Linked DNA regions of Stegostoma tigrinum. The protein of the gene in region 1 interacts with the protein of each later gene in a pairwise test. Links are inferred from orthologs where the notes say so. Each region holds a gene or a part of one and is shown in the gene's direction. Other genes may lie near its edges.

What was found.
Region 2: the proteins of plekhf2 (region 1) and setbp1 interact in binary tests that used the Homo sapiens proteins (3 or more experiments, as listed by UniProt). The two-hybrid records come from large-scale screens. The link is inferred for Stegostoma tigrinum from reciprocal best matches to the Homo sapiens genes PLEKHF2 and SETBP1.
Region 3: the proteins of plekhf2 (region 1) and ube2z interact in binary tests that used the Homo sapiens proteins (3 or more experiments, as listed by UniProt). The two-hybrid records come from large-scale screens. The link is inferred for Stegostoma tigrinum from reciprocal best matches to the Homo sapiens genes PLEKHF2 and UBE2Z.
Region 4: the proteins of plekhf2 (region 1) and hspb7 interact in binary tests that used the Homo sapiens proteins (3 or more experiments, as listed by UniProt). The two-hybrid records come from large-scale screens. The link is inferred for Stegostoma tigrinum from reciprocal best matches to the Homo sapiens genes PLEKHF2 and HSPB7.

Annotation. Positions count from the first base shown.
Region 1 is NC_081358.1:92,322,907-92,330,347, forward strand, and holds the start of plekhf2 (pleckstrin homology domain-containing family F member 2), read left to right. Parts: upstream 1-4,415; 5' UTR 4,416-4,445; coding exon 4,446-4,551; intron 4,552-7,441. UniProt on the Homo sapiens protein: May play a role in early endosome fusion upstream of RAB5, hence regulating receptor trafficking and fluid-phase transport. Enhances cellular sensitivity to TNF-induced apoptosis.
Region 2 is NC_081354.1:135,006,629-135,013,863, reverse strand, and holds the start of setbp1 (SET-binding protein), read left to right. Parts: upstream 1-4,229; 5' UTR 4,230-4,332; intron 4,333-4,342; exon of another isoform or gene 4,343-4,874; intron 4,875-5,314; 5' UTR 5,315-5,437; coding exon 5,438-5,884; intron 5,885-7,235.
Region 3 is NC_081384.1:4,560,390-4,568,142, forward strand, and holds the start of ube2z (ubiquitin-conjugating enzyme E2 Z), read left to right. Parts: upstream 1-4,634; 5' UTR 4,635-4,644; coding exon 4,645-4,814; intron 4,815-7,753. UniProt on the Homo sapiens protein: Catalyzes the covalent attachment of ubiquitin to other proteins. Specific substrate for UBA6, not charged with ubiquitin by UBE1. May be involved in apoptosis regulation.
Region 4 is NC_081381.1:31,712,854-31,720,782, forward strand, and holds the start of hspb7 (heat shock protein beta-7), read left to right. Parts: upstream 1-4,841; 5' UTR 4,842-5,020; coding exon 5,021-5,219; intron 5,220-7,929.

The DNA of each region.
Region 1 (7,441 bases):
AAAATTTCATGGTACAACCAAAGCAGAAAAGAACAGTTCCTGATTGACAGTGTCAAAATTCTTTGTAAGGTTGAAGAAAGCCAACTAGGACTATGATATACTTGAATTAATTAGCATAGAGAGTGAGGAGGCATTAACAGTTTTACCAGGCTTGAAAATGCATAAATCATCAGGGCCAAATGAGATGTATCTCAGGCTGCTGTGGGAGGCAAGGGAATAGATTGCAGGGGCTCTGACATGAATTTTTGAATCCTCTCTGGCCATAGAAGGGATCCAGAGGACTGGGGAACAGCTAATGTGGTTCCATTATTCCATATGGACCAGGAAACTAGTTGAAGGCAAGGGGATACAGTTTTAGGGTGAAAGGCAGAAGGTTTAGAGGAGTTGAGGAGAACGTCTTTCATCCAGAAAGGATGTGAGTCTGGAATTCACTGCCAGTTGAGACGAGTCATCCACAACCTTTAAACAGTGCTTGGATCAACACTTGAAGTGTCATAACATTTAAGGTGGTGCCTCAAGTGCTGGTAAGTGAGACTAGAATATATTTAGCTTTGTGTTGGCAGTACAGATGTGATGGGCTGAAGATCCTTTTTTGTACTGTATGATTTTAACATTCTATAATTAGGTGAACACCTGAAATGTTATAGCATACAAGGCTGCAGGCCAAGTGTTTGAAAATGGGATTAGAAAATTGATGCTTTGCTCAAACACAATGGGCTGAAGGGCATCGATTATGGCATGTAACAAACCTTCCAGAATTCTGCAAACATCTTCTATCCCTCAAAGATAAAAAGACTTTTGGAGTGTTTGCTTACAAATGAGTGTACATCAGAAAATCACATTCAGCTGGATCATGTTGTACATTTAGAATGTGCAACATTTCCCATTGGCTGTTGGAACAGAGGTAATGTCTCCTTTAAATTTCAGAAAAAACTGAGGGAGAGTACACCAGATTGCATTTTGAACATTTGATCCTATATGCAATCTGATTTTCTCAACTAAAATATATTGGGAGATTCGTAGTAAAGATGAATTTAACTAAGTTATATTTTGGATTAGAATTTAAATTCAATATTCTGGAAATAATGGCAACATTTATTTGTATATCTGTTGTATGCTGCCAGCTGGCAAACTTCTCTACAGTCAGAATAGCTTCATGAAATTACACAAATCTAATTTAGGATCTAGCTTAAGAAGGGAAAGTTAAAATGTTCTGGCTAACTTTTTAAGCCACTTGTGAATAATAGTTCACAACAAAAAGTCAGTTTTTTGATACAATCTTGGCACAGTTTTTCTGGCTGATGGATCAGATTTAGATTTACTTTTATTGTCATGTGTACTCAAGCACAGAAGTACAGGAGTATAGTGAAAAGTGTACAAAGTCGCCAGTCTCCAGATCCATTTTAGTGTACAAAAAGCAGAATTAAAAACAGAAGCAGAAATAACAGAAACAGCCAAAAGAAAATGGACCATCCAGATCACTCTCCCACCTCCATCCCTGTGTCCTCATTACTGGAGAATAAAGCCACAAAGTCCACCTGTCCGTCTGTAAACACTCAGGTACCCGAGTATCCAATGCTACCATACTGTTGGAAAATATTCCATCCACTGGATTCCCACTGGATTAGTTCAGAGTGCTATTTTGGATCTTCAAGCCCAAAGGAAATGCCCAAATGAAATGTATGAAAGCTTCATTGAAATTATCATTCATTCTGGAATAGTGTGCAGACATAAATACTTTTTAATTTTTACATCAAAATGAAAACTGAAAACATTAGACAAGGCGCAGTTTTGTCAACATTAACAGCCTATTCCAATACCAATTGCTAGATGGCAGTGTGAGTTGGTTCTTTGATTTAAAAAAAACATTTTGATGACAAACAGATGAAGTTAGCATGATTCTGATTATTCACTGAGGAAACATTTCTTAGAATTTTTCAAACATTTCCAGAAATATTTACGAAGATTCGTCATGGATTTGATTCATTTTGTTAACAAAGGATCACATAGAATTGCAGTGATCACGAGGACAGAAACAGGCCATTCAGCCTAACTGGTCAATGTTTGGGCTTATGCACAATTTGAACCATACCCAGTCCTTCCTCATCTTACTCTATCAGCATTACTCCCTGATATCTTCTCCTTTACTTGTTTAGATAGTTTCCCCTAAAACATATACATAAAATTTGCTTCAGCTAGTTTCTGAGCTAGGAAGTTTCCTAATATTTTTGGTCTATCTTGAATTATAATCTTGTATTATTTGCCTTTAGTTTTTCTATTCCCCTTAAGTGAAAAGTCTCATTCTCTCACTGTTTAAAATTTTCAATCAAAGTAAAATTCTAAATTCCGTGATGGCAGAAAGCTGGAATGATACCAATACTGAGGAGGATTGCAAGAAATTACCAGGTAAACATTAATAAACTCGCAGAATGGGGAAATTATTTGCAAATGATGTTGAACAGAGATAAATGTGAGGGAGTGTACTTTTGTAGGAAAAATAGGAGCAAATTGGAAGGTGCAATTTGAATGGGGTCATGGAATGAAAGGATCCCCAGTACAGACACCCTAATCACTGAAATTGGGCCATAGGAAAATTTTATTGCAAAATCTTGTAACTCAGGGCAATTCAGGGGTCATGAAAGAAGAATTCAAAGCTTACAGTCTGTGCGTGTGTAAGAAGGGGGGAGATACAGAGGGAGAGAAATGCTGAGTACATATTAGGTCTGCTGCAGTTGTCTGTATTGCTAGGTAGGCAGCTGAACCACACAAATTCTGGGTAGGGAACTTGGCAAGGAGTTAGATGGGTCTGTGCTGTTTGAACTCAGGAGGATATTCTTCAAGTTAGTGGGCAGCTAAATATTGGAGTCATGCTTCAGAAGAAGTCCTGCGAAATTAAGAAAGTGACATGCTCATTGGTTGTGTTGTGGGAAAACATGAAGGGTTCAGAGGAAGGCTGCACGTGTCACGACTTCAGTACAACTGAGTGAATGGGAATTGTAAAGCCAATAAGCAGAATTTTCTGGATGTAACTGAGGAAGATTAGACCTCAGAGCGAGAAAAAAATCATAGAAAGCTTTAGCTTGTTGAAAATAGCTGTCAGTGAAGAACTAGAGTTATGTGTATGAATAAACATTGGGGAGCATTTTTGAAGTCCAGCTAAGCATAGAGGTAAAGGTATGCTTGACCAGAATTTTGAGGCTATTCATGATGGTACTGTACTAGAGAGGGAGTTTCAATGGAGGCAAGATCAATACATGTGAAGAATTGTAATCCTTTATGAAGTTTGATGAGTCTTAATGATCCATTATCTAATTAACATCTGGGGGATAATGTAGAGAAAATGGTTGGGGGCGGTGTTTATTTTGTGTCTGCCATACGCTGTGTGCTCTTGGGTGTTTGATCATAAACTGAGACAAATGTTTATTCTGTGTTACGCCATAATTTGAGTTTATATTACAGATTGCCTTACAAATGTTGTATCATAAAGCTTACTGTTTGCCCAAAATTGTAAAATCTTCTTTCTCTTTCTCAATATGTCCCCATAATCTTACATTTTGAAGAGTTTGGAAATAACAGGTTACTGGTCCCTAGCCAGACTGTAACATAAATTTATTGGTTTAGCCCCGGATCAAAACACAATACTCATGTTTATGTTAATAGTATCAATTTAGAACTCAATCATTGGTGTTTAATTTTTTTCTTCAATTTAGCCTATTTTGGTTTAATCAACCTGTTCAGAGATGTTATTACACACATTTGAAGCACGTAGGACTTGAACCTAGACCTCCTGGTCTGGGGTAGGGACGCTACCACTATGCAATAAAGGCCTCTTCATTGCTTGTTTACTCTTTCCTCCAGAATAAACTTCAGCTGCTCAGTAACATTCTGAACCTAGTCACCACAGAAGCAATATATTAAATTGACTTATACTGCAGCTGCAGAAATGCCTGTCTGTTCTGTTAACAATTGATCCTCTTTCACTATTGCATTTGCAATCTCCCTTCTGCCTTGCTTCCATGCTCATACGGGTGAAACATCCTTGATGTTAAGGACTTGAAAGACAGGAACTTGTCTGGGAGAAGTTTGCATCATCAACATCATTATGAAGTTGATTGGTAGGAGGGTGTTGCAGGTCAGTATCAGTGTAAAGCAGAATAGGAGAATAGATTTCTTGAAAAGACAGCAGTTGTAGGAGAGATAAAACAATGGCAGAGTGTCCTGTTTACTTGTTCTACCTGTCAGAGCTAAAGTGTGAAGGAAAATAGCTAGATGATTTTTGGGTAATTTCCTGTGTGTCTCTTTAGAGTGACTAAGTGGTTTGAATCAGGAAATGCTATTACAGCTGAGGAGTACAGTTAGGAAATTAATTACTGAAATACAGTAGATGACACGTTGCAGCTGTAGCATGTGGGATCTTGTGGATGCCAATATGATTCACTGTTGCCATGTCTGCAGCAAGTGTTAGCTGCTCAAGGAACTTCGACTCAGGGTTGATAAGCTGGAGTCTGAATTGCAGTGGGCACTGCAACACCACATCAAGAAGGGGGAGAGGTACGTGGACATGTGTTTCAGGAGACACACATCCATTAATTACGTGAAATTTAGTCCTTGATCAAGGACAGGAGGGTGTGGCTGCAAGTGAGGTAGGTATTAGGATTCAGAATTTAGCTTTGGACAGGAAAGGGGAAGAAAAGATATGCAGAAGACAACAGCAGAAATTAAGACCAGAATAAGTAATAAAGTGAAAAGACAAAGCATGAATCTGTTTTTTTTTTGAATGCTCACAGCATTTCTAACAAGTTCGATAAGTTGAAAGGACAAATTCAAATAAATGAATACAGCATGATAGATTTAATGAGATGTGGTTGCATGGTGACCAGTAGTGTGAGCTCAATATTCAAGGGAGTTGATTGTCAGGAAGAATAAGCAAAAAGGAAATGGAGGTGGGGTAGCATTGTTCATTGGTGGCAGTCAGGAAATCTCTCTTCAAATACATTAGACTTTTCAGTGGTGACGGTTTGAAACTAACGTTTATGGAAATCAATACCTACTACCCCCACTGCCCTTCTCATGTCTTCCTCTAATTTACTAAATACTCTTTTTTTCCCCCTCCATAATATCCTGCTTCAGTTCTATTTTATGTCTAGGAGCTGGTGGCTGTTTGAAATCACTAACTCCAGGATATGAGATTCTAAACATTTCCTTTTTTGATGTAAGAAGAAGGATATCAAAACTCATATCTATTGTCATAACCAATTCTTCCCTTAATGGCCTAGCCTCAGCTGGTGACAGAGGTCTCTACATGGTTGTGAATTCCTCTTTAACCGCAGCAGGGCTCCCTTCTCGCCTTCAAGTCTTGACACCCTACCTCACTTTTCAGCATGGCTCTTGTTACCACATATACTGGCTTTGCTTTGTTTCACTTCTATGAAAGAAGGAGAGATTGCTTTCAACTGCAATGTCTCAAAAAGGCTTGAAATCACCAGGGGAAAGCATTCTTGTACTTGCTTTCCCCATATGTATCAAGGCCGCTTATCACACTAGCAAAGAATGTAGATTCACTGCTTGTTGTGGGCTAATTTCTGTCTGGAGTTGTTTAATTTTAGTTAACTCTTTTATTCTCTAGTTCTCCCATCAATCCTGCATCCTCTGCTCTCAACTCAATATTTTCCAATATTTTCTCTGTTTCTCCTTATAGTATCCCTCATTACATGTTTCTATCTGCTGTCTTAATTCTAAGATGTCACTTTCCCTTTTTAACTTTGTAACTCGTTCCCTAGATTCCTTGCATTTCTTACTCAACTGCAAGGCGCACACGTGGGTGCTGAAGGCCAGTTTATTACAGAATTTCTTTATCTTAACTTCATCCTTCAAAACCTCCTGACAGACTCTGTCAAAAATAGATTTGTAATTCCCATCACAGTCATCTTTTGCTTCAGGTGTCCTACTTTCTCAATCAAGCTTTCTATTAACTGTCTAGAAAAGGCCAAAGCCATTGCACCTTTCTGGTTTCACTTCAGGGTTATTCCACAAATGTTTAGCTACAATCTAAGACTGATGCTTCCCAAATTTAAAGCCAATTAAATTTTGACTTCTGTTCAGACATCTGATATCAGATATACCACTTCTGACAGCCTGCTGATTTTGGATGTCATGATCACATTACCTGATATAGGCAGTGGACAATTTGAAACACTTTTTAAATAGTTTCCTGAAGTTGTTAAGAAGCAGCAGTTGATTATAATACATTATAGCTGTTCCTGTTCTTCCTCCCACCTCAAGCTGCACCTCCATTTCCTACCTACTAACCTCATCCCACCTCCTTGACCTGTCCGTCTTCCCTGGACTGGCATATCACCTCCCCACCTATACACTCCTCTCTCCATCTTCGATCCGCCTCCCCCTCTCTCCCTATTTATTTCAGAACCCTTTCCCCATTCCCCTCTCTGATGAAGGCCCAAAACGTCAGCTTTTGTGCTCCTAAGATGCTGCTTGGCCTGCTGTGTTCATCCAGCTTCACATTTTATTATCTTGGGAACTGCAGATGCTGGAGAATCCATTATCTCTGAATATAATACTTTGGTTAGTTATACAAAAAATATTCAAGAGTGACCGATGAGACTATTCCACTAATCCCAAAACTAGGAGCGCTGGACTGTTCATCATTCATATCATGTAGTCTGAGTTGGACCTGTCTTCGTTCATCTCTTGGACTGATGTAGGGCAGCTCTTGGTCCCATCAAGGTAGTGCATCCACTTTTTCTCTTTCTTCCCACCTGTCCCTGTTGATGTATCTTAATTTGGTGCTACTCATCTCTGCTGTGTCAAGCAACTGTCTAAACCTTCTCAGGCAATGATTATGGGAAGATACACGATGCCAGGATGACCGTTGTCTCCCCTGCCCATCTCCTTTATGAAGATTAGTTTTTGTTCCTTCTCAGAACAAAAGTTTCTGATTTTCTAAAATGCTGTATTCATAATTGAGTAGTGTGGTGCCTGGTAAATCTCTTGTGTATCTTTGTCAAAAGCTAGTTTATACTGCAACACAGTTAAGTGAGGTGACAGGAAACACTAAACATGGAATACTAATACAAACTCAATTCTAAAGGTGACCCCAATGTCCAACGCTTAGGTATTAGAGCTTAATAATAGGAAACCTCTGTTAGGAAAAGAGTTAACATTTCGAGTCCAGTGATTCTTGTGCTCTGACGAAAGGTCCCTTCTCGAAACGTTATAGCTGTTTTCTCTTCGTAGCTGCTGCCAGACCTGTTGTGTTTCGATTTTTGTTTGGATTTTTGTTTCAGATTTCCAGCCTCCACAGTTCTTTGCTTTTTGCAAAATAAAGTCTAGTATGGTTCTCATTTTCAAAACAAAAAATAAATTTTATTTCATGCTCTGATGAACAGTCATTTAGACTTGCTCTCTCTCCAAGGATGCTACC
Region 2 (7,235 bases), on another chromosome or scaffold:
TGGTCTTAAAAAAAATGTGCAAGATGGTATAACGTGCCTTTCAGCAACTCCTATTGGTCCAATAAAATAATTCCCTGACATGCACCTTAAAATCAGCAAGTACCAACTTAATTATCTAACTCTAACAGTGAACAAATTAACTAAACTATTAACAACCAAATAAAATCCTTCCAACTACTAACCATTCCAGAATAAAACAAGATTCTAATGGTATGCTGTTCCAACAAGTAGTCTCTCAAAACTACAGCCAGGTTATGTGACTTCTGGCAGGAATATTCACTAGTTTGTGATGTGGGTACTTTTGTTCTTTAGATGGTGTTTTCTCTAAAACACAGCAGTCTGTGAGAGCTAGCAATTCTCTCTTGCGAGTTGAGGGCTGTTAACACCAGCTGATGGCAGTTTGTTCTGCTGTCTATGCAGAACTGTCCCTTCTTTTCTACTCTTGAAGACATAACAATTTTTGATAATGGGATTGGTTCTATGTTATCAAAACCATCAGGTTTAAATTTAACTGTTTTTTTGTATCTAAGTGCCTGGTTCATGTTGATTAATTAAATTCAAAAAGTTGTTTTCTTGGTAAAAACTGCTGCTAGGCATGCTAACTGTGTGGCCTTTTGATACAAATATTTCAATTCAGGTGCTCTCTGTGTACTTATAAGCATTCAAGCTGAAGCTCAGCAACATCCATTTAAATCTTTTAAGCGTAGAAAAAGCACATCATCTTAAAAAAAGGGTCTAGGCCCGAAACGTCAGCTTTTGAAAAAAGGGTCTAGGCCCGAAACATCAGCTTTTGTGAAAACTCCAGCATCTGCAGTTCCCATTATCTCTGATACTATTTTAACCTCACTGTGAAGCCTCTTCCAGGGATGCCTAACCTGAAGAAGTTACCCTCCTCCCTCCGGACCAACCTCAGGGAATCTCTCTCCCATTGCAACTCTCTTGTAATACCTGTCCGTCTTCCCTGGACTGACCTATCCCCTCCCTACCTCCCCACCTATACTCTCTCCACCTATCTTCTTTACTCTCCATCTTCGGTCCGCCTCCCCCCTCTCCCTATTTATTCCAGTTCCCTCTCCCCATCCCCCTCTCTGATGAAGGGTCTAGGCCCGAAACGTCAGCTCTTGTGCTCCTGAGATGCTGCTTGGCCTGCTGTGTTCATCCAGCCTCACATTTTATTATCTTGGAATTCTCCAGCATCTGCAGTTCCCATTATCTCATCTTTTAAATTGATCACACAATGTTTTCCCCCATCACTGCACAAACACCAAGTTCTAACTTCCTGCCTCCCATTCCACAAGTACTTTACCCAACTGCACAATGCTCCCACAGTCCAAAAATGTGGAAATTATGTAGATTGGTCCTGGTAAAAGCAGGGATTGTGTGGGTCTGGGTGAGATGCTCTTCAGAGAGTCAGTGCAGACTCAATTGGCTAAATGGCTTCTTTCCATACTGTCAGGATTCAATGAGTTCAAATCTCTGGAGCAAGTGGGACTTGAACTCAGACCTTGAGGCCTAGCAATAGGCACACTACTGCTGTGCCTCAAGATCGCTCGCATTTAATTCCACCAATTAGTGTGGCAGATTTTGAACCAATGCCTAGTATTGGTCTCTGGATTACCAGTCACATGACATTTCCATTGTGCTATTGTCTTGTGTCTCCAGGATATCAATAATGGGGGGTTCAGTAATAGTCATGCCATTTAAAGTCAAGGCTGTAAGGCTGCTGGGTTGTATGGATGCCATTTGTGTTTCTACTGTTTGAGCAAAAGGTTGTGTAGGTTCTTCCAATTTATTCCTTTAGTACTGAGGCCAAGTTTGTTGTGATATTTGGCGGTGAGTTAAGTACAAAATAGTGAAACCAGTCTATTAATGCTGATGGAAATGTTTTGTTTTACTTTGTCGCCGAAATAAGTTTCAACGGTGAATAAAAATCAAAAGAACTGCGGATACTGTAAATCAGGAACAAAAACAGAAGTTGCTGGCAGATCTGGCAGCACGTGAAGAAAAAAATCAGAGGTATCGTTTCAGGTCCAGTGACCCTTCCTCATGTTCTGCCAGACCTGCTAAGCTTTTCTAACAAATTCTGTTTTTGTTCCTAAGTTTCAATGGTGGTAATTCATAAGCATATCCTTCAAATGAACTCAGTGAAAACACTCAAAATGGTCAATGGCAAGTTCTAAATGAAAAGTGAAATGCAAGTACTCTTTGGACATATTATTTTGCACGGATAGATCCCCATTATATGACATTGATGCATATGATTTATCATAATATTGGTATCTGAGATCCTACAGTATATATAACACAGGAGTGATAGTGTGTGACCCATGCAGATTAAAGTTGTCAACTCTGGCTGTAAGTATTCCTGGCAGGTCTCATCAGGAGTTACACTAACTCCTATCTTTGACCATCCAACCAAACAATTTCTTACTCCATATCTAACCTTTATATCACTATCAGAGGAAAGACAAATTATAACAATGGTGTTATGGGCATTGATCTTTTAAGGGCAGGAAGTTCTGGTACAATCCTGGTGAATGAATGAAACGATGTTTTGAATGAATGAATGAATGAATTATTGTTACATTTAGCTCGGGAGATGCAGTGAAAAGTATTCTGTTACCACAATCTGGTACCACAAAAGAATAAAAAATAGAGTTTATCTTCATTGGCCAGGGTCCCAAATATGGCTCCACAATTCTGCAAGGTCGCTGCTCTGGGCCTACGTCAGCCAGGAGCCCCTGCTCCAGGCCTTTACACAGCTGCAGTCAACGATCCGCCACTGTCAAAAGAACCCATACTCCGGATCCACCGCAGGGAGGAGTCCCTGTTCCATCACTGCTGCAGCCGCTGCCACACAGCAATTCCAGAAAATCACGCAGTTGGCCTACAAGCTAGGGGTCACTGCCAACACTACTCCTGCTATGTCAGGAAGATGGAGAAAAGACAAAGAACAATAGAGAAAAAATGGGAAAAAGGATGTGCCCAACCTGGAGTGGACGGGCTCAGCCTGAATACCACCGAGGTGCTGATGGTGCCATCTTGTGAGAGTGAAGCACTGCGGTGCATTGACATTCGGGGATAAGAAGGCTGTCATGGGAAAATCTGGAAAAGTGCAAAAGATACCCAGCTGAATCAGAAAAAAGAGGGATGAATGACTTTTCCACCAAATTTGATCATTTGGTACTTCGAAGCTCACCGAGGCATACACAAAGTGTGTGTTCTTTTCTTACACCGAGTCTGATTGGGAATCTACTTATAAGTGCTAGATCCTAACGTACTTCATGTGTGATTTCAGCACTGGCAGCTCCAATTATACACTCAGTTAGGTGCTGGAAACAGACTCCTGGAAACCTGTCAACTCGCTGCCCACACACGGGTCACCTTTAAGGAGGATGCGGTTAAGAAAACACAGCACTAGGGAAGAAGGCCTTCCCACAGAGGGAAGATGGAGAGGAGGTTGGGGCGGGGGGTACTGTCTACAACGTAGAGGAAGCAAGATATAAGAGAGAACATGTGGATGCGGAGTAAATAAACGAAAATAAAGTTGGAATCTATTAAAATGCAGAAGACAGTCAGCAGGCGCGATACCAAATAGTCACCACCCAAACAAACCGAAGTATAAAGAGTGTAAAATGTGAGGGCGGAGTTAGATCTGAGTGTTACCCTTATCCCCGGGGGCAAGAGGCAAGTCGGTGCTGACGGGCAGGGAGATGCCCAGGCTCCTCCAAGCTCAGGCCTCGCAGGAGGCAAGCGGCTGCAGCAATCACTGCCGTGAGCTGTGAGCCCGTTCCCCAGCGCCCTGTCTGTCTCTCTCTCACACACACACACTCACTCCCTGCCCACATCCCCGCAAACTGCACGGCTCCGCCGCCACGGCTACAGCAGCTGCCGCTGGAAGCCCCGGCCTCGACAAGTGCTTTGCTCCCAGTAAGCCCTCCACACACACACACATACAGAGACAGACAGACACACTAACACACACACACACTGTAACACTAACACACACAGAAACTGCAGATCGATCAGGGCTGGAGTGGACTGCCGCGGAATGGAGTGGGGAGCCCGGCGTGTTCGCTGATCGAATCTCCCAAAGAGCCCAATCCTCAGTGCACTTCCTCAGCGCCATATTTTGCTCTCTGTTCAGGATCAGGAGCCTAGAAGGTGCGGGATGTGGGGGGGGGGGGGGGGTGGTGTGGTGGTGTTGAGGGGAGGAGGCTGTGCTCGAGTTTGACAGATCGAATCCGATCCGATCCGATCATGCCGTTTCCAGAAGCTCCGCAGCTTTGGGACTAGTTGAGACCACAGGTTCTCGGCGCTGGATATGGGTTAGTAAGTAGCAAATTGGCGATATCTTTTTTTCCTAAGTCCTCCCCCCCCCACAAACGTCTGGGATGTGTGTGTTTTGGGGGGGGGGGTGGAGAGGAGAGGGTGTTGTTTCTTTTGTGGCCGATTTCAATCATTGCCACGGAACCAAAAAAAGAAAAAAAAGTCGTGTACGTGTTTAGTGAGAAGGAGTTGATGGTGCAATTCGGTTGTTTAAAAAAAAGTCCGTCTTTTTTTTGGTCGAATTGGAGTGGAGCTAGAGAGCCTCTAGCATCGGATTCCAGCAGCTGCAGCTTTCCAGCCCAACTCTCATTGTATCTGAGGCGCTTTTACCGAGGGAGCAGGAGCGTGTGGACGCTGCAACAGATCGACTTGTAACCTTGTACATCTCTCTCTCTCTAAATACACACACACACACACACACACACACATATACAAAAAAAAAGCCATTGCAACATGACAGACCTGACATTGTCGACATGTGAAAAAGGCTTCTGGATCACTGAGAGCGGACTGAACGATAAAATGAAGTAAATGGTGCGTTCGAGGTAAAGGAAAGTGGCTTCATTTGACAGGAGCCCGTAACGTGGCTGCTGGACTGGTTTGCAGGAACACGAGAAGCCTTTATCCGAGGAATTTTGTTTTTGTCTCTCTCGGAGGGCAATGTGACGAACGTTTAACTTTTTTTTGCTGTCGTGGCTGTCTTGGGAAAGAAAATGTCGAGCGCTGTTATAGTTTAATTAATAAAAGGCGAATTGGAACATGCGCCCATTATTTTAACTGGTAGTGGAACCTTTCGCTGGATTAGAGGGGGGGGTGGTTGCTTTTTTTAAAAAAAATTTGGAACAACTTAATATTACTGCCACAGGAATCTGATTTATTTTCTCTGACCGCGAATTCAAAGGAGTTGGAATTGCAAGTCAGTTCGATTGGGGTTTCCACCCAGTTGATGTTTACAGTTCTACTTTGTATCTATTTTTGTTTCCAGATTGCAGTTTTTATTTTGTTTTGTTTGGGGGATCGGATTACTCTGGAGTAACGGAGGACACTGAGAAGTGCTGAGTGCTGCTCTCCCCACAGCTCCCTGTGCCTCTCACAGACGCTGAGTGAGATGGAGCAGAGGGATACGGCGATGGGCTGCAGGCAGAAGCCGGCTGATGGGGATTTCAGGTCGGCTGCCTGCACTGCCAAGTCCGCAGTCTCTCCTGGAGCCTTGATGCAGTCGCCTGGGAGCCAGATGAACGGGGGGAGGCTGGATCAGGACGACGAGGAGAGCGCCAGTGGTAGCCAGGACTCCAACTCCAACACAGACAGTGATAAATCAATGCAGGGAGACGGCCTGGAGGAACACGAGTTTTCCATCAAGGAGGCGAACTTCACAGACGGCAGCCTGAAACTCAAGATCCAGACCACCAAACGGCCGAAGAAACCTCCCAAGAACCTGGAGAACTACATCTGCCCTCCGGAGATCAAGATCACCATCAAACAGACAGGGGATCAGAAAAACTGCAGGTCGAGCAAAAGTAACAAGGTGTCAAAAGAAGATGAAAAGAAAAAGGTAAGAGGCTCACAACTGTCCAACTTCCTTTTGTGTTTACACTGCACCCTGACTTGTATTTTGATAGGCGATAAACATGTTTTTACAAGATGGTCGATACCCCTTGTTATGACTGCAGAAGGGGAGAGAAGCAATGGGAGTCAGGTGGCTAGAGACGCTCCCATATTAGCATGTAGCCATTTAGGATGAAATACTTGTTTGCTGTAACCGTCTGTTCAATGCACATGCATCTTCATTAAGTACCTGTAATAACCTCTCGGACGGGTTTGAATATTTACTGATTCTGTGAAGCTAGTCATTTTGACAGACTGTTATCCAAAAATTTGGAATTATATTCCTAAACCATTGTTAAAAACTCCGTGAAACTGACTGTTCTGCAGATATTACTTCCTAATATTCAATGGAATCAGTTGTTAATTTGGTGTGTCTTTCAACTCCGGTGCAGTAAATAATGATTCTGAGGTTGGAGGAATTCTTTCATGTTACTTTGTGGTGGAATAAATGCTGATCTTGTTGGAAAAGACCATGGGTATGGGAGAAGATTGGGTTTTGACACTTCTTCCACACCAAAGTGATCATGTTCATTTCACAAGGGCATTAGACTTTCTACTAAATTTTCAGCTGATACTTTCAGTTTGCTGTTTTCACCCTTTCTCATAATTTGGTTTTGTCCTCTGCTCAGTCCTGAAAATGTTATGTTCACAGTTAGAGTTTGGCATCCTTCACAATTGGAACTTTGCCTCCCCAGGCAACAGTTTACAGCCTTTTGTGAGGTTAATTCTGGCACCGAGCCCATACTTACAAGTTTGATTAATGCAAATTTTACTTTTGGAGCTGAGTTCTTAGTGTAATAACTTAGTGTTGCACACCCTGACAGAGCTGCATTTTTATGAGGTATAACTGGTTTTTGTTTAAATTGTCTCAATAACTTTGAATATATTGGTATTGCCCAGCAACATAAGACACTAACAAGGTGACATTAGTTATGTCTGACGTCACTGTCCAAGCATCTACCCATCGCTGCTCCATTATCTGTGATCAAGGATGCCCTGCTGTGCCTATAGTGTAAACAGGCAGGCTCTGCTGATTATCTTAGTAATACCTGGAGTGAACCAAACTGGAGTCATTCTTGAGTTTTTCTATGAATTAGGGCCATACAGTATCACTGTTTAATTTGATTTTCACAGTCCGTAGGCACTAAAAATCTTGATAATTTGGCATGTCAATCATTGTAAGTTTTGTGAGGCTTTTATTTGTGTGTGGGTAGCTTTTCTCTATGCGATTAAGGAGATCTCTGATTAATCATTATTGTCTTCTGTGATGTACAGAGCTAGATTTTAAAATTCAAGAG
Region 3 (7,753 bases), on another chromosome or scaffold:
AAATGGACATGTATTACACCTCCTGCGGTTGCAGGGCAAGGTGCAGTGAGGCTGTGTGGGGCGAAAGAGGAGTGAACCAGAGGAAGTCCTCGTGAAAGGCTGACAAGAGAGGGGAGGGGAGGGCAATATGTGTCAGATGGTGGTGTCTCACTGGAGGTGGCAGAAATGGCAAATAATGATCCTCTGAATGTCAATGCTGGTGGGATGGGAGGTAAGGATAAGAAGGATCCTATCGCAGTTGCAAGGGGAAAGACAGCCTGGCCAACATCTCTGTCTCAGGCTGGCTGCAGTGCTGCACTAGCCACTAACAATCACCATTAATAGCTATTCACCCTCCTAGCCAGATTATTATCCATTCCTTTGTCTATTCAATGCACTTCTCTCTCTTTCGGCTCTATCCCCACTTATCATTTCTCCTTAATGCCTTCCCTCACCCTATCTTCTTCACATAAACCAACATTTCCTAGCTACAATCAGTCCTGAGGAAGGGTCACTCAATCTACAATGATAACTCTGATTTCTCTCCACAGATGCTGCCAGACCTGCTGAGTTTTTCCAGCAATTTCTGTTCTTGCTCCTTCACTTCACTATTTGCATGCCTTCAGCCTTCTCGATCTCAATATTCCATCCCTTAACCTCTCCACATCTCAGACTTTCTTAAAGATTCCCTTAAACCAATCTTTTTGACTAGGCTTTGGTCACCTGCCTCATCTGGCTCTGTGTCCAATTTTGTCACTCTCTGCTGTGAGGTACCTTGGATTAATTTAATAAGTTAAAGGAAATATATCAAGGAACAAGAAGTTGTTTTATAGCTTATTAATTCAAAATTGTACAAGTGTAAAATATGGAGATGGGACTCTTGTGCTATAATTGTAGTGTCCCCACCTCCTCATTAAATCTGAGACAGATAAATTATTGTTAAGCAAAGGTACTAAGGGATGTGGGCCAATGGGAGGTATGTAGAGTTAGATCACAGATCAGCCATGATCTCATTGAATGGTGAAACAGGTTGGAGGGACCAAATGGCCTACTCTTGTTCCTATGTTCCGAGTGACGATATTGGATCAAGTCTCACTTGCTCCAGAGGTGTGAAATAATTTGAACAAGTTGATTACTAAAAAGATGTTTTTGATGAGTTGCATTTTATAACCCAAACTTTCTGTTATTGGAGGGAAACTGGAAGAGGAGTGAGGAGTTTGTTTTACCTTGTGTGTAAGTTTGTGCAGTTTTGAGAAGTGAAGATGCAGAGATCTGTTTTTGTTGGCTCCTTGAATTTTATAGTTTTGAACTGTGATAAACTAAAGGCCTTCATCTAATGATCAGTTTATCAGGCATTAGTGGACTATCATGATTTGTACTTTATTACCTATTTGATGTGTTCAATTATAAAATTCACTTCGATTTGGCCTGAGGACATGATAAAAGTTGGTTTTCAAATAAATGAAGGTTTGAATATGTTTATTTCCTGTCATAAACACTGAGAATTGGAGTGAGGTATTTGCTGTCACACATATAAAGGCCAGCAGTTCCAACAATCTCATTGATTTTTCAAAGGTACCAAAGTTAATCCTGACTCCTACATAAATGTAAAACTCTCAATTGTTTCACAGTTGATGCTGCAATAATGAGAGGTATGAAGATGCAAAGATGGCATCTTTCACATCTAAGTGAATCACAAAGCTCTTTATAGTCAATGAAGTACTTTTGAAGTGTAGTCATTGCTGTAATACAGGAAACGTGCCAGTCATATGCATACATAATCATTGCAGATACAACAGACTCTGCAAAAAAGCAGTGTGTTAAATGAGTGGCACAACCATTGTGCCAAATGAGGCAGGTTTTGAACAGATCCAGCAAATCAAAAATGGACATCCATAAAGCACTGTGGACGAAAATTGCAGCCAACCACAAAATGACCTCATGGTCTGGCCTATTGCCCATCCCCTGCAAACTCCACCACTACCAACAAGCTGGGTAATCAACCACAATTCAATAAAAAGTGCTGGAGGACATTCCAAAGCAGTATATCTTGAAATGAAATATCAATCTAGTAAAGCGACATTTAATGGGCCAAACAGTGGCTGCAGCATGCAATAGACCAGGCTAAGTGATCTGACAACCAAACAATCACATTGGAGACATCACATCCAGATGTGAATGGTGGTGAACAAAAAAAAACTAACAGTTTGGGTTCCATCAGGGACAGTCAGCTTCTGACTTAATTATAGCCTTACTTCAAATGTGAACAAGAGCTGAACTCTGGAGGTGGGTGTGAGACTGACTGACCCTAACATCAAAGCTGCAGTTGACCAAGTGTAGCATGAAACTGCTCTTGGAAAACTATTGCCAATGGAGTAGGAGGGAAGTCTCCAAGACCTAACCATCTTTAACAGCTTCATCAATGATTTTCAGTGGAAATGTTTACTGGTGATCACAAACCCACTACCGCTAGTACCTTAATAGACAGAGGCGGCAGATACATGGGAGCACCACGACCTGCAAGTTCCTCTATCCTGATTGGATTTGTCTCCATTCCTGTACCATCACTGGAACAAAATCTTAGAACGCTTTTCCATAAAGCGCTGTGCACGGTCCTGTGCCTCTGAAGACTGCAATAGTTTGAACAAGACAGCTCACCATTACCTCATTCAGGACACTGAATGAACACTGGCTGAGCCAGCAATGCCCTCAGTCCAAAACCATTCTTTTTTAAAAATCTAATTAGCTGTTTTATTGGGAGAACACTCCACTCATCTTTGAAATATTCCATGGGAATCATTAAAAAAAAGACAGAAATACTGTGGATGGTGGAAGTCTGAAACGTTGAAAGTACTGGAGAAACTCAGCAGGTCTGCCAGTGTCTCTGGAGGGAAAAACAAAATTAATATTTCATAGAACATAGAACATTACAGTACAGTACAGGCCCTTTGGCCCTCGATGTTGTGCCTATCTGTCATACCAATCTGAAGCCCATCTAACCTACACTATTTGACTCCGAAGACTCATATCGGATTTGAAACGTTAACCTTAACCTTCAGTCCTTGATCTTTAGCCCATGCAATGGCTGATAATTCCTCAATTTATCATCTCATTTTCGACCAAGACAGTTCTCCCTCAATCAACACTCTAACGTCCACTGAGATCATGTGCTCGAGTCCCTGAAGCTCAACTTGACCCAGAAACCTACGACACATATGATTCCTGCCTTTGAGATTGGGCTACGAATGCACATAATTGCATATTACAGCTACGAATTGATGTTTGATTTCACACAGCCCCTAATACATGCCACTTGTTTCCTGAAACCAAACTGGTTAATTTATAACAGCAAAATACCGCCAATGCTAGAGAAACTGATTCGTTATTGATTTAATTTCTGTTTCTTGGAAAAGCTGGTGCAATGAGTGACCTTGTTATAGGTGAAGGGCTTGAGAATAGGATGAAATATTGCGCCAAAGCAGAATTGAATGAAAGATAATGAAATGTGAGGTGCCGATACAGTCATCAATGTACCGGAGGAAGAGGTGGGGTAAGGGGCCTGTGTAGGTGCGGAAGAGGGACTGTTCCACGTAACCTACAAAGAGGCAGGCATAGCTGGGGCCCATGCGGGTGCCCATGGCCACCCCCTTAGTCTGTAGGAAGTGGGAGGAGTCAAAAGAGAAGTTGTTGAGGGTGAGGACGAGTTCGGCTAGGCGGATGAGGGTGTCGATGGTCAAAGCGGTTTGCAGAACACCTCTGCTCGGTTCGCAATAAACAACTGCACCTCCCAGTCGCAAATCATTTTCACTCCCCCTCCCATTCTTTAGATGACATGTCCATCATGGGCCTCCTGCAGTGCCACAATGATGCCACCCAAAGGTTGCAGGAACAGCAACTCATATTCCGCTTGGGAACCCTGCAGCCCAATGGTATCAATGTGGACTTCACCAGCTTCAAAATCTCCCCTTCCCCCACCGCATCCCAAAACCAGCCCAGTTCGTCCCCTCCCCGCACTGCACCACACAACCAGCCCAGCTCTTCCCCCCGACCCACTGCATCCCAAAACCAGTCCAACCTGTCTCTGCCTCCCTAACCTGTTCTTCCTCTCACCCATCCCTTCCTCCCACCCCAAGCCGCACCCCCAGCTACCTACTAACCTCATCCCACCTCCTTGACCTGTCCGTCTTCCCTGGACTGACCTATCCCCTCCCTAGCTCCCCACCTACACCCTCTCCACCTATCTTCTTTACTCTCCATCTTCGGTCCGCCTCCCCCTCTCTCCCTATTTATTCCAGTTTCCTCACCCCATCCCCCTCTCTCATGAAGGGTCTAGGCCCGAAACGTCAGCTTTTGTGCCCCTCAGATGCTGCTTGGCCTGCTGTGTTCATGCAGCTCCACACTTTGTTATCTCAGATTCTGGAACCTGCCCATTTTCATTACAGTACCATAGGATCACCGGCTGGTGACGCTTCTTAGCTTCCTTCCATAGGGGCGCCTTCTCTGTGGCGGGGTGCAACCAATAGGTGGCGCTATTGGTGGAGTATGATTCCCGGAGTCACCAGCGAGTGGCACTATTGGCGGTGTGTGATACCCGGAGTTACCAGCGGGCGGCGGTGGTGGAGGGGGTTTCCGCGCCTGCGTAGTGAGGGCCGGAGTCGGGGGAACATGGCGGAAGCTCCGTTGGAGGAGAGCGTGAGCCCGATTCTGTTACCAGGCACCGGCTCGGTGGCAACCGGCCTCCTGAGCCAACTTCAGGCAACATCCTGGGACCCGACCCTCAGCACCGACTGGGATAGCGAGAAGCCCTCACAGCCCTGTCTACTCCGCATCAAAAGGTTAAAAACCACCCTGAGGAGGGAGGAAGGAGGGGAGAGGGGGAGTAGGATGAGGGAGGGAGAGAAAGAGAGACAGTGGGGAGGGGGGAGAAAGCAGGGAGGGGGAGAGGGAGAGAGGGATGTGGGGAGAGAGAGAGAGGGGCGCGAGAGCTGAGAGAGAGAGAGCGGGGAGGAGAGAGCAGGGAGAGGGGTGAGAAAGAGAGAGAGAGTGGACGAGGAAGAGAGAGCGGAGAGGACGAGAGAGGGGACGAGGAAGAGAGAGCGGGGAGGAGAGAGAGGGGACGATAAAGAGAGAGCGGGGAGGAGAGAGAGGGGACGAGGAAGAGAGAGCGGGGAGGAGAGAGAGGGGACGAGGAAGAGAGAGCGGGGAGGAGAGAGAGGGGACGGGGAGGAGAGAGAGGGGACGAGGGAGAGAGAGGGGACGGGGAGGAGAGAGAGGGGACGAGGAAGAGAGAGCGGGGAGGAGAGAGAGGGGACGGGGAGGAGAGAGAGGGGACGGGGAGGAGAGAGAGGGGACGGGGAGGAGAGAGAGGGGACGGGGAGGAGAGAGAGGGGACGAGGAAGAGAGAGCGGGGAGGAGAGAGAGGGGACGAGGAAGAGAGAGCGGGGAGGAGAGAGAGGGGACGAGGAAGAGAGAGCGGGGAGGAGAGAGAGGGGACGGGGAGGAGAGAGAGGGGACGAGGAAGAGAGAGCGGGGAGGAGAGAGAGGGGACGGGGAGGAGAGAGAGGGGACGAGGAAGAGAGAGCGGGGAGGAGAGAGAGGGGACGGGGAGGAGAGAGAGGGGACGGGGAGGAGAGAGAGGGGACGGGGAGGAGAGAGAGGGGACGGGGAGGAGAGAGAGGGGACGGGGAGGAGAGAGAGGGGAGGAGAGAGAGGGGACGGGGAGGAGAGAGAGGGGACGAGGAAGAGAGAGCGGGGAGGAGAGAGAGGGGACGGGGAGGAGAGAGAGGGGACGAGGAAGAGAGAGCGGGGAGGAGAGAGAGGGGACGGGGAGGAGAGAGAGGGGACGGGGAGGAGAGAGAGGGGACGAGGAAGAGAGAGCGGGGAGGAGAGAGGGGGGACGGGGAGGAGAGAGAGGGGACGAGGAAGAGAGAGCGGGGAGGAGAGAGGGGGGACGGGGAGGAGAGAGAGGGGACGAGGAAGAGAGAGCGGGGAGGAGAGAGAGGGGACGGGGAGGAGAGAGAGGGGACGAGGAAGAGAGAGCGGGGAGGAGAGAGGGGGGACGGGGAGGAGAGAGAGGGGACGAGGAAGAGAGAGCGGGGAGGAGAGAGAGGGGACGGGGAGGAGAGAGAGGGGACGAGGAAGAGCGAGCGGGGAGGAGAGAGAGGGGACGGGGAGGAGAGAGAGGGGACGGGGAGGAGAGAGAGGGGACGGGGAGGAGAGAGAGGGGACGAGGAAGAGAGAGCGGGGAGGAGAGAGAGGGGACGGGGAGGAGAGAGAGGGGACGAGGAAGAGAGAGCGGGGAGGAGAGAGAGGGGACGGGGAGGAGAGAGAGGGGACGAGGAAGAGAGAGCGGGGAGGAGAGAGAGGGGACGGGGAGGAGAGAGAGGGGACAGGGAGGAGAGAGAGGGGACGGGGAGGAGAGAGAGGGGACGGGGAGGAGAGAGAGGGGACGGGGAGGAGAGAGAGGGGACGGGGAGGAGAGAGAGGGGACGGGGAGGAGAGAGAGGGGACGGGGAGGAGAGAGAGGGGACGAGGAAGAGAGAGCGGGGAGGAGAGAGAGGGGACGGGGAGGAGAGAGAGGGGACGAGGAAGAGCGAGCGGGGAGGAGAGAGAGGGGACGGGGAGGAGAGAGAGGGGACGAGGAAGAGAGAGCGGGGAGGAGAGAGAGGGGACGGGGAGGAGAGAGAGGGGACGGGGAGGAGAGAGAGGGGACGAGGAAGAGAGAGCGGGGAGGAGAGAGAGGGGACGGGGAGGAGAGAGAGGGGACGGGGAGGAGAGAGAGGGGACGGGGAGGAGAGAGAGGGGACGGGGAGGTGAGAGAGGGGACGAGGAAGAGAGAGGGGACGAGGAAGAGAGAGGGGACGAGGAAGAGAGAGCGGGGACAAGGAAGAGAGAGCGGGGAGGAGAGGGAGTGGACGGGGACGAGAGAGAGCGGGGAGGAGAGAGAGGGGAAGGGGAGGAGAGAGAGGGGACGGGGAGGAGAGAGCGGGGAGGAGAGAGAGGGGATGAGGAAGAGAGGGGACGAGGAAGAGAGAGCGGGGAGGAGAGAGAGGGGACGAGGAAGAGAGAGCGGGGAGGAGAGAGAGGGGACGAGGAAGAGAGAGCGGGGAGGAGAGAGAGGGGACGAGGAAGAGAGAGCGGGGAGGAGAGAGAGGGGACGAGGAAGAGAGAGCGGGGAGGAGAGAGAGGGGACGGGGAGGAGAGAGAGGGGACGAGGAAGAGAGAGCGGGGAGGAGAGAGAGGGGACGAGGAAGAGAGAGCGGGGAGGAGAGAGGGGACGAGGAAGAGAGAGCGGGGAGGAGAGAGAGGGGACGAGGAAGAGAGAGCGGGGAGGAGAGAGAGGGGACGAGGAAGAGAGAGCGGGGAGGAGAGAGAGGGGACGAGGAAGAGAGAGCGGGGAGGAGAGAGAGGGGACGAGGAAGAGAGAGCGGGGAGGAGAGAGAGGGGACGAGGAAGAGAGAGCGGGGAGGAGAGAGAGGGGACGAGGAAGAGAGAGCGGGGAGGAGAGTGAGGGGACGAGGAAGAGAGAGCGGGGAGGAGAGAGAGGGGACGAGGAAGAGAGAGCGGGGAGGAGAGAGAGGGGACGAGGAAGAGAGAGCTGGGAGGAGAGAGAGGGGACGAGGAAGAGAGAGAGCGGGGAGGAGAGAGAGGGGACGAGGACGAGAGAGCGGGGAGGAGAGAGAGGGGACGAGGAAGAGAGCGCAGGGAGGAGAGAGAGGTGACGAGGAAGAGAGAGCGGGGAGGAGAGAGAGGGGACGAGGAAGAGAGAGCGGGG
Region 4 (7,929 bases), on another chromosome or scaffold:
ATCCTCTTTTTAGATTGAGATCTACAGGGCTGCTTTATCTAATATGGCAGAGGAGAACCACTAAGTAGTCTATTGAGGAGAGACTGCAGGCTGACGCAAGTTGTAGTAATTGCATGTAAGTAATCAGATATATGGCATATTGGTATGATAGACATTTTTCCAAAGATTCTGGAGAGGCGTAAATGTTCGGTATGTCTCTTTTGAGATCCAAAGTGGTTCTTTTACCACCTAAGGTCAGATGACATCATCATTTTTGGCAGAGCTCATTGTAGATTTCAACATTAACCCCATCAGAACACATTACACTAGTGTGTGGCAGATTTAATATTTTGTAAAACCCCACCATTCATAAGGAATGCTGTTGCACTTTGGTTAGTCTAGCTTTGCAAAGGTTACAGCTAGGTTACGAACATTGGACTAACGAATGTTCGTATTTACAAACACAATCCCATACAGGGTGTGTAAATTAAAAGACTTGACATATGAACATTTCCTCTACTTACAAATGACTGCTTAACAATGTCCAGTTTTGTGCTTGGACATACGTACATATTAACTCACAAGCAGATTCAAGAACAGAACCTATTTGCAATGCAGGAACTGCCTATACATTAACTAATTTATTAGATATTAAGGAACTGTGTACAATGTTACATGCATATTTTTATTTTCCTGAAACCATGATCATTTTCCCTCCAACTCTCCCAATCATGTCTCCTCTTACATCATCAATGTGGGGCAGTCCCGGACCTTAACCCTAACAAGATGAATACTACACCTCCTCCTCCCAGATCTTCCTCCATATTTGCTACATTTATATTTGCATGCTATTCCCACCTCCGCCCCAAGACTCAGACACAATAAACTCAATCCATCAGAAGGTCACTTCCAGATAGTGCTCATTTCAGGCCAGAAAGGTCAGTTGTACCTCGCTGAATTCTTATGTCTTGACTTGGATGGACTTCATTCAGACTTGTAGTATTTGTTATTTTGTTAATTTCTGGGTCAATGTCTAGCTCATCCATCGGTAAGACTGATTGTCATCTTTATAATAGAAATAAGATCCCTCCCATTTCTCTATATAGTGTGTATTAAGTAGAATGTCTCTCGAATGTAACATCTCTGGACAATCACTCCACCCCGACTTGGTATCTTACCTATACCTCTTCCACCAACCTGATATGGTACCTCCTGTTATAGAAAGCTGGAAGTTTCACTCTCAAACATTTCTTTTCTAGTAGATGTTGGATGCCCAAGTCAGCCTCTCATTTAATCCCATTTACCCAAACCCAAGGAACGGATACTCAAGATAGACCCACCTACTTCCTTCTGAAATCTATGAAGTCACCATATCATTTGCTAGGACATCTTGTTTAATCTTTACTCAGAAAGTTGTTTGACATAGGGGACATGAGAAAGAATGTTATCAGTATTAGGAATGGTTTGTTTCAAAGCCTGTATTAGAGATATGTTATTGGAAAAGGTTTGAGGTCTATGTTGAACTATGTTTATCAACCCAGCAGGCCATTATGGAAATTCTCCTGGTGGGAGAAAGAAAAAATTATTTCAGTTGTATTCAATAAAGTCCTTAAGCTTTCATTAAGTTAATGAACAATGATTTCTTCCATTCACTATTAACCCACGTTCACTGACCTACATTGGCTCCAGTCAAACAATAGCTTGATTTTAAATTTTCAGTCTGGGTTCCAACTTTCTCTGTAACCTCTTCGATCCCCACAACCCACCGATATATCTCAATCCTCTAATTCTGGTCTTTTGGCACTGCAATTTTAATCACTCCATCATTAGTGGCCACGCCTCCAGTTGCCAAATTCCTTAGCTCTGAAGTCATGTCCCTAACTCCTTTTGCCTCTTTGTCTCAGTGTCCTTGTTTTCCCTAAAATTTGCATCCTTCACCATGCTATTGGCCACCTGTCCTCATACAATATCTCCTTATATGGCTCAGGACCAGAGTTTTATTTTGTAATGTTCTTGTGAAAATCATTGGGACTTTTTATTATGCTGAAGGTGCTATATAAATATGAGGCATTGCTGGAGTATTAGAACCGCATATAATTGGCCATCTCAATAGATTAAAGAAGCTTTCTCCAGTGACTCACACTCCACTTGTTATAAAAATTATATTTTAGATTTATTTCATACCCTCTCCACTATCCAGAAGTCAATATAGTCCGAGCTTGAGGTCACCAGTCACGAGTTATGCTAAGGTCCTACTTTACAGCTTAATAACCAGGTGGCTCTTCCTTTTTTAAAAAAATCCTTATAATAAACTCCACAAATTTGTTTGACTTCAACTTTCAGTATTTCTTGTTTCTGTAATCATGTCAACCATTATGGTGTCAATAAAGGCAACAAGTGCGAATCTTAACACTCTATCATTAGGTAGCATTATTGTGACAAATTATTTCCAAAAGTTAGCAATCATTGTGGGTGGAAAGTCAGGGTTAGTACATCTACGTGGGCGTGGATACCATTAAAATGGCAAATGCCTCAGCAATATCATTGATTGAGGTCAAATGAAAAGAATTGAAATGAGTTGGTAAAATAAGCTACCAATTCACAGCCACTCATTTTTCATAAAAGCAACATACTATGGATGCCCGTTATCTGTGACCAAGCCTCCGGGAGTCCATGTCATGCAAAAGATGCGTGCAGTTTCTCTACCGTCGTCCCCATGTTTGACAGATGAGCGCTTTGAATTGGCATCCACAATGACGAAGAACATCAAGCCCATGAAAGGACCTGAACAGTCGATGTCCAGGGTTTACCCAGCCATTCCCACAAACGAGGGGCAGCTGCTGTAATTTCCGTCCATGTTGGCACTCTTGGCAGTGCCCCACCAACACATCTACGTCTGTTTCAAAACCTGGCCACCAGACATAACTTCTTGCCAACATCTCCGTTTTGTAAACCCCTGGATGACCCTGGTGCTGTCCCGCCAGTATCTGATGGCAACCTTTCCTTGGGATAATCGGTGTTGCTCACCGCAATAATTTGCCATCCTCTACTGTGACCTGGCCTCTCCGGGCCAAAAAACTATTTCACTTCTGGTTGTGATGGCCCTTTGGACCTGTCTTTCACAAAACCAACATATTGTGGGTGGTGAAAATCTGAACTAAAAAGAGAAAATGTTGAAGACACTCAGCAGGTCTGGCAGCATCTGTGGAGTGAGAAACAGAGTTAATGTTTCAAGTCCACTAAGACTCTGCTTCAGCCAATTTTACACAACTGCTGAAGCCACATTTAACCACCAATATCTGGATCACTGCTCTGTGTGCCCTCTAACAGTCTTGTTCACAACCTTTATCGAACAGCAATGGACCGGCCAGCCAGCAGGAAAGAACAACCTTAGTTTCAGTGCCTTTGCCTTGCACTGCGGGGACCTTCTTCACATATCTTGACTGCCTCTTCTTATTCTGGTAATATGAAGCCGACAAACTGATTCCTTATTAGATCACCTACTTCTGTTAAGAAAGAAGAGAAGCTCAGTCGGACCCTACTCTTTGCCCTCCCACTGAATCCCGATGTCTAACAGAGCTCTAGCTATATACTAGCACATTTTCAAAATCAATGTTTCCTGAAAAGTCCAATCAGATATGTTAAAAAATTGAAAATATTTTGAATGCTCTTGTGCGTTATGCTTATCATTGGCCTCTTTTTTATGTTTTCTCCCAGTTTCCCTTGAAGTTTTTTCTTCTTTCACTCCAGCAACAGCAATACAGGAGATTGTGTCATTCTCCAAGTCGCTGGGAAGATACTGTTTACTCACTATTAAAAGTTCAGATTATCTTAAAATGTCAAAGATTGCACGCACACTTCCATACTCGTTAACTTAATCTTCTCCATTTAACCAGATCTGTTGGGAAGAGGTAAGTTTAAAGTGGAGTTTTGTTGTCCAATACCCATCCATTTTTCCTACTTCTCTTTGAAGAAAAGCCGTGTTTCCTTAGCGATGAACTCTACCTGTACCCCTGCTTTCTAAGCCCAAGTCAGTGTGATCAGAATACTCAGGGTCAATAGTCACATGGCACCAGGTTATAGTTCAACAGGTCCATTTGAGATCACAAGTGCTGCTCCTTCATCAGGCAAGTGACTTCATCTGACGAAGGGGCAGTACTCCAAAAGCTTGTGACTTCAAATAAACCTGATGGACTATAACCTGGTGTCGTGTGACTTTTGACCATGTCCCCCCACCCCCCCCGCCCCCCAGTCCAACACCAGCACCGCCACATCAAGAATATTCAGATCCAGCTTCACAAAGGCCAGGATTCATAACCCCAATTTTAACTCATTTTTAGCACATTGTCATACATTAAGGTCTAAGTTCAAATCCAACTTCTGAGGGATACCACATCAATTTTCTTGTGTTGGATTGCTTTAAGCACAAGCCAACTGGAAATGATAAGGTTTCTGATCATTTGTAAAACAACCAGAACAAAACAATCGCATGTTTTACATTCTGCTGTATTTTGTAGGGGCTATTTAAATGAATTGAAATGTTCCTTCATTAACTCAATGCACAATCATTTATGTCCAAAATGTCATTTCAATCATTCTAATTGTTCCCAAAGCAGTGCTTCAAGTCTAAATAAAGCTTTTTTTTTCCAGTTTCAGGACAGCAGAGCAGCAGCTTTAACAAGAATTACAGTGCTGGAGTCAAATTGCTTTTTTAAGTTCTCCATCGAACTGAGCTGGAATGTTTGCTATGAGAACACATTCCTGATCACTCCATTTGTTTGGAGGACTCTGACGACCTTTCATCTGTTAGAATTTTCACAACTGCATGCCTGATGTGGCCAGAGCTAAAATTAACATCAAAATTTGACTTTGGCAGTCAGACACATTGGCAGGAGTCTGTATAAAAGCAGAACAGAATACAATCGGAGCACAAAAGACGATTTGGTCTTTGGAAGCTTATCCAATATTTCCTGGCCATCCAGGGGTGCTAGAAAGGAGCTGGTGAAGTAGAATTTTGAGATTTAAACTGTATCTGCCTTCCATGAGTGTAAAATCCTCTACTGCCTTCAGATCTGAGCGTTGCTTTCATCAGAACACCACTTCCTCCTCTTCTTCTTCGGGTCCAGCTTTGGATCAGTACATGGATAAATCAAGAGGTCTCTTTGGGGACGAGTTTGAGAAGTCCTCAATCCTCCATGGAAACTTTTTGAGGCCCCGGACTGAGCAACTTGGATATTCAGGTAAGTGCAATCCGCCCAGAGCAATGAATTCTGTAGTCACATTTATTAACACTAGAAATTGAATGGGTCCCCTTTTTTAATTATTTAAGGAGATGGCACTGCTTAAAATTTGAAGTTGTGTCTTGCATCTGAAAAGAATTCACATGGAAATTCGAAATAATTCTGCAAAAACGGAAAGTAATGATCAATAAATCTCAGAAAAGTGGAGTCATCATGACCCACTGTGCGATAATATTCCCCAGGCAGCTACAATTGAACATAAATTAAATACGTTGAAGTGAAGGTAGAAATGTAAATGAAGAAGATAAAGTTAATTGAAAGTACATTGCAAAATTTAAATTAATCTAAACTTTGAAATGAATGGCCATACATTAGCTTAATTCGGAAGTGTGCATTTAATTGAATGTGTGGTTATTATATTAAATTAATTGTCTAGATCCATATAGGGAACAAACTCAGACACATAAAAGTGAGAACAGAATAAGAATAAATTCTACCTTTTGTATACTAATCATGGGACAGGAAGCTTACTAGGGTGCAAAGCTAATTGACATTTACAAAACTAACAAGTCCCGTACTAGAGCAGCAGATTGAGAAAGCACAGAGAAAAACCTCGCTGTAAAAATCTTTCAACTGCCTTGGGTTAATTTAGCACACTGACTGTGGGAGTGAATTTCAATTCTGCATTACTGTCTCAACCTTGGGATGACATTCCAGATTTTAAGACATTGGCCATGGCTAAAATGCTTGTCTTGAAACTCTTTTTGTGGGATTGAGGATGCCAGTGAATACTCTAAATAATTACTTAATTTGTTTTTCTACATTTCTTGTTTGGAGGTTTACTCGAGAGCAATTAAACTCAAACGTTATCTGATATAATACAATCAGATGTGTATCCTTCTAATGGTCAAGTGTAAAAATTACATATTGATCCACAAACATCTCCCTTAACCTGTGCTTATCGAAACAATGCTAATGCATTAAACTTATTCGCATCACATAATAGTAAAAACATTTGAAAATCTCAAGTATATTTCAAAAGTCGTGATATTTGATCGATATGATCCATCTGTGTCGCTGATGTTTAAAGCTAGTGCTCAGGTTATCAAGGTTACAGATGACAACATGTATAAAGAATGATCCAGTAAAGATCAAGTAACCTCATACAAAATCCCAAGAGTTCAGAAGTTGATGAGTGTACTTTATGCACAGACATCCACACAGAGAAAGCTATTAGCATGAAGTAAATATAACTGGAAAAGAAAATAAAACAAAACATATTGAGAAAAAGGAGCACCCCTCTGGGCTCAGTGAGTGAGTTCACAGTGTACTGTGTGTAATCACAGAGTGGCTAAGTACCATTTGGTTCAACCTCGGGTGTGTTCTTCTTCTTCTGTTGTCTGCATGAAGAGAGGTCTGACCCACACGGCACCATGACCTCCACCACATGTAAGCCCCAAATCTACCCCAGCCAGAACAGAGATCGAACACCATGCTGTGAACTCCAATCTGACCCACACTGGTCTTCCAGCTAATGGGGATAACTGTTGTCATGACCATTGATCATAGCCCTGGATCAAGAAGGGACCTGTCAAGCTTTAATTCCAACTTGCTTTTTTTAAAAAATGAAAATGATACAGATAAAATGACGGTGGATATAAATTCAGTGGCTGCCTGAAAAGAGACCACGGAATGTCACTCCTATCAAGGTGTCAAGAAAGCTTCAAAAGTATGAATTTAAAAGGGAGAAATGCTCTACAAACTGAACTGTTACCTTCTGAGAGTTATTTCAGGCTGTGAACGTAGTGGGAGAAAGGACAGCAGTCTGGGTGAGAAATATGGTTTGGGTTTTCCCTTTCAAGAATACTCAGGGTTAGGTGCTTCAGCTCTGGGCTGTGTGCATTAGTGGCCTGACATTCTAGTGTCTGGATAAATGTGCTGTGAAAGTCACAGTTTTGAGTATAGCCACTAAACACCTCTGAACTGAAAGTAAAGAAAGGGAGAATAATCTCTCTTAATCTGAATGCTTCCAGTCAGCTACTGTTGAAAGGAACCAGGACAAATGAATCTCAATCAAGCTACAATGTCAAGAATTTCAAATTGACTGCCAAACGGTAACTGCTGGTATTGGTGCCAGTGGCTATTTGAATGCGATTGGTAACATCCATTGTAAAGGTCGAAATATCTTATTATCCACTTTCCACGAATGACACAGAAGCTAAGTTGTATATCTTTTTAAAAATATTATTGTCTGGACTCACTTCTTATTCCTAAACCATGTGCATGCATTGTTATTTCTTCCTGCATTTAATAACAAATAAATTCATTCTTTTGTTAACTTAAGAAAACTTGTTTAAGGTGTCTCTTTTCAAACTGCAAATTATTTTGGGAGAAAGGCATTCACAAGCAAGGAGGCCTTTTAAAATTAAATTTGTCGTGACCAAATGAGGAGTCGGGTGAATAAAGAAGGGGAGACCATTCATCTCTCCTCACCTGGGATCTTGACAATTTGGGATAGCCCATCTGGAACCGTAATAATTTAGGGAAACTGGATCTGGTCATAACACCACCCCATCACCCCCCACAACCTGCACCCCCACCAGTCAAGAATTCCAGGTTGCTACGGCAATGTACTTTTCCATACATTGAGCTATGGGTACTGATGGTAAAGGTTCAGATTTTATTAGGATCAAATGGCTGGCTAGGAATC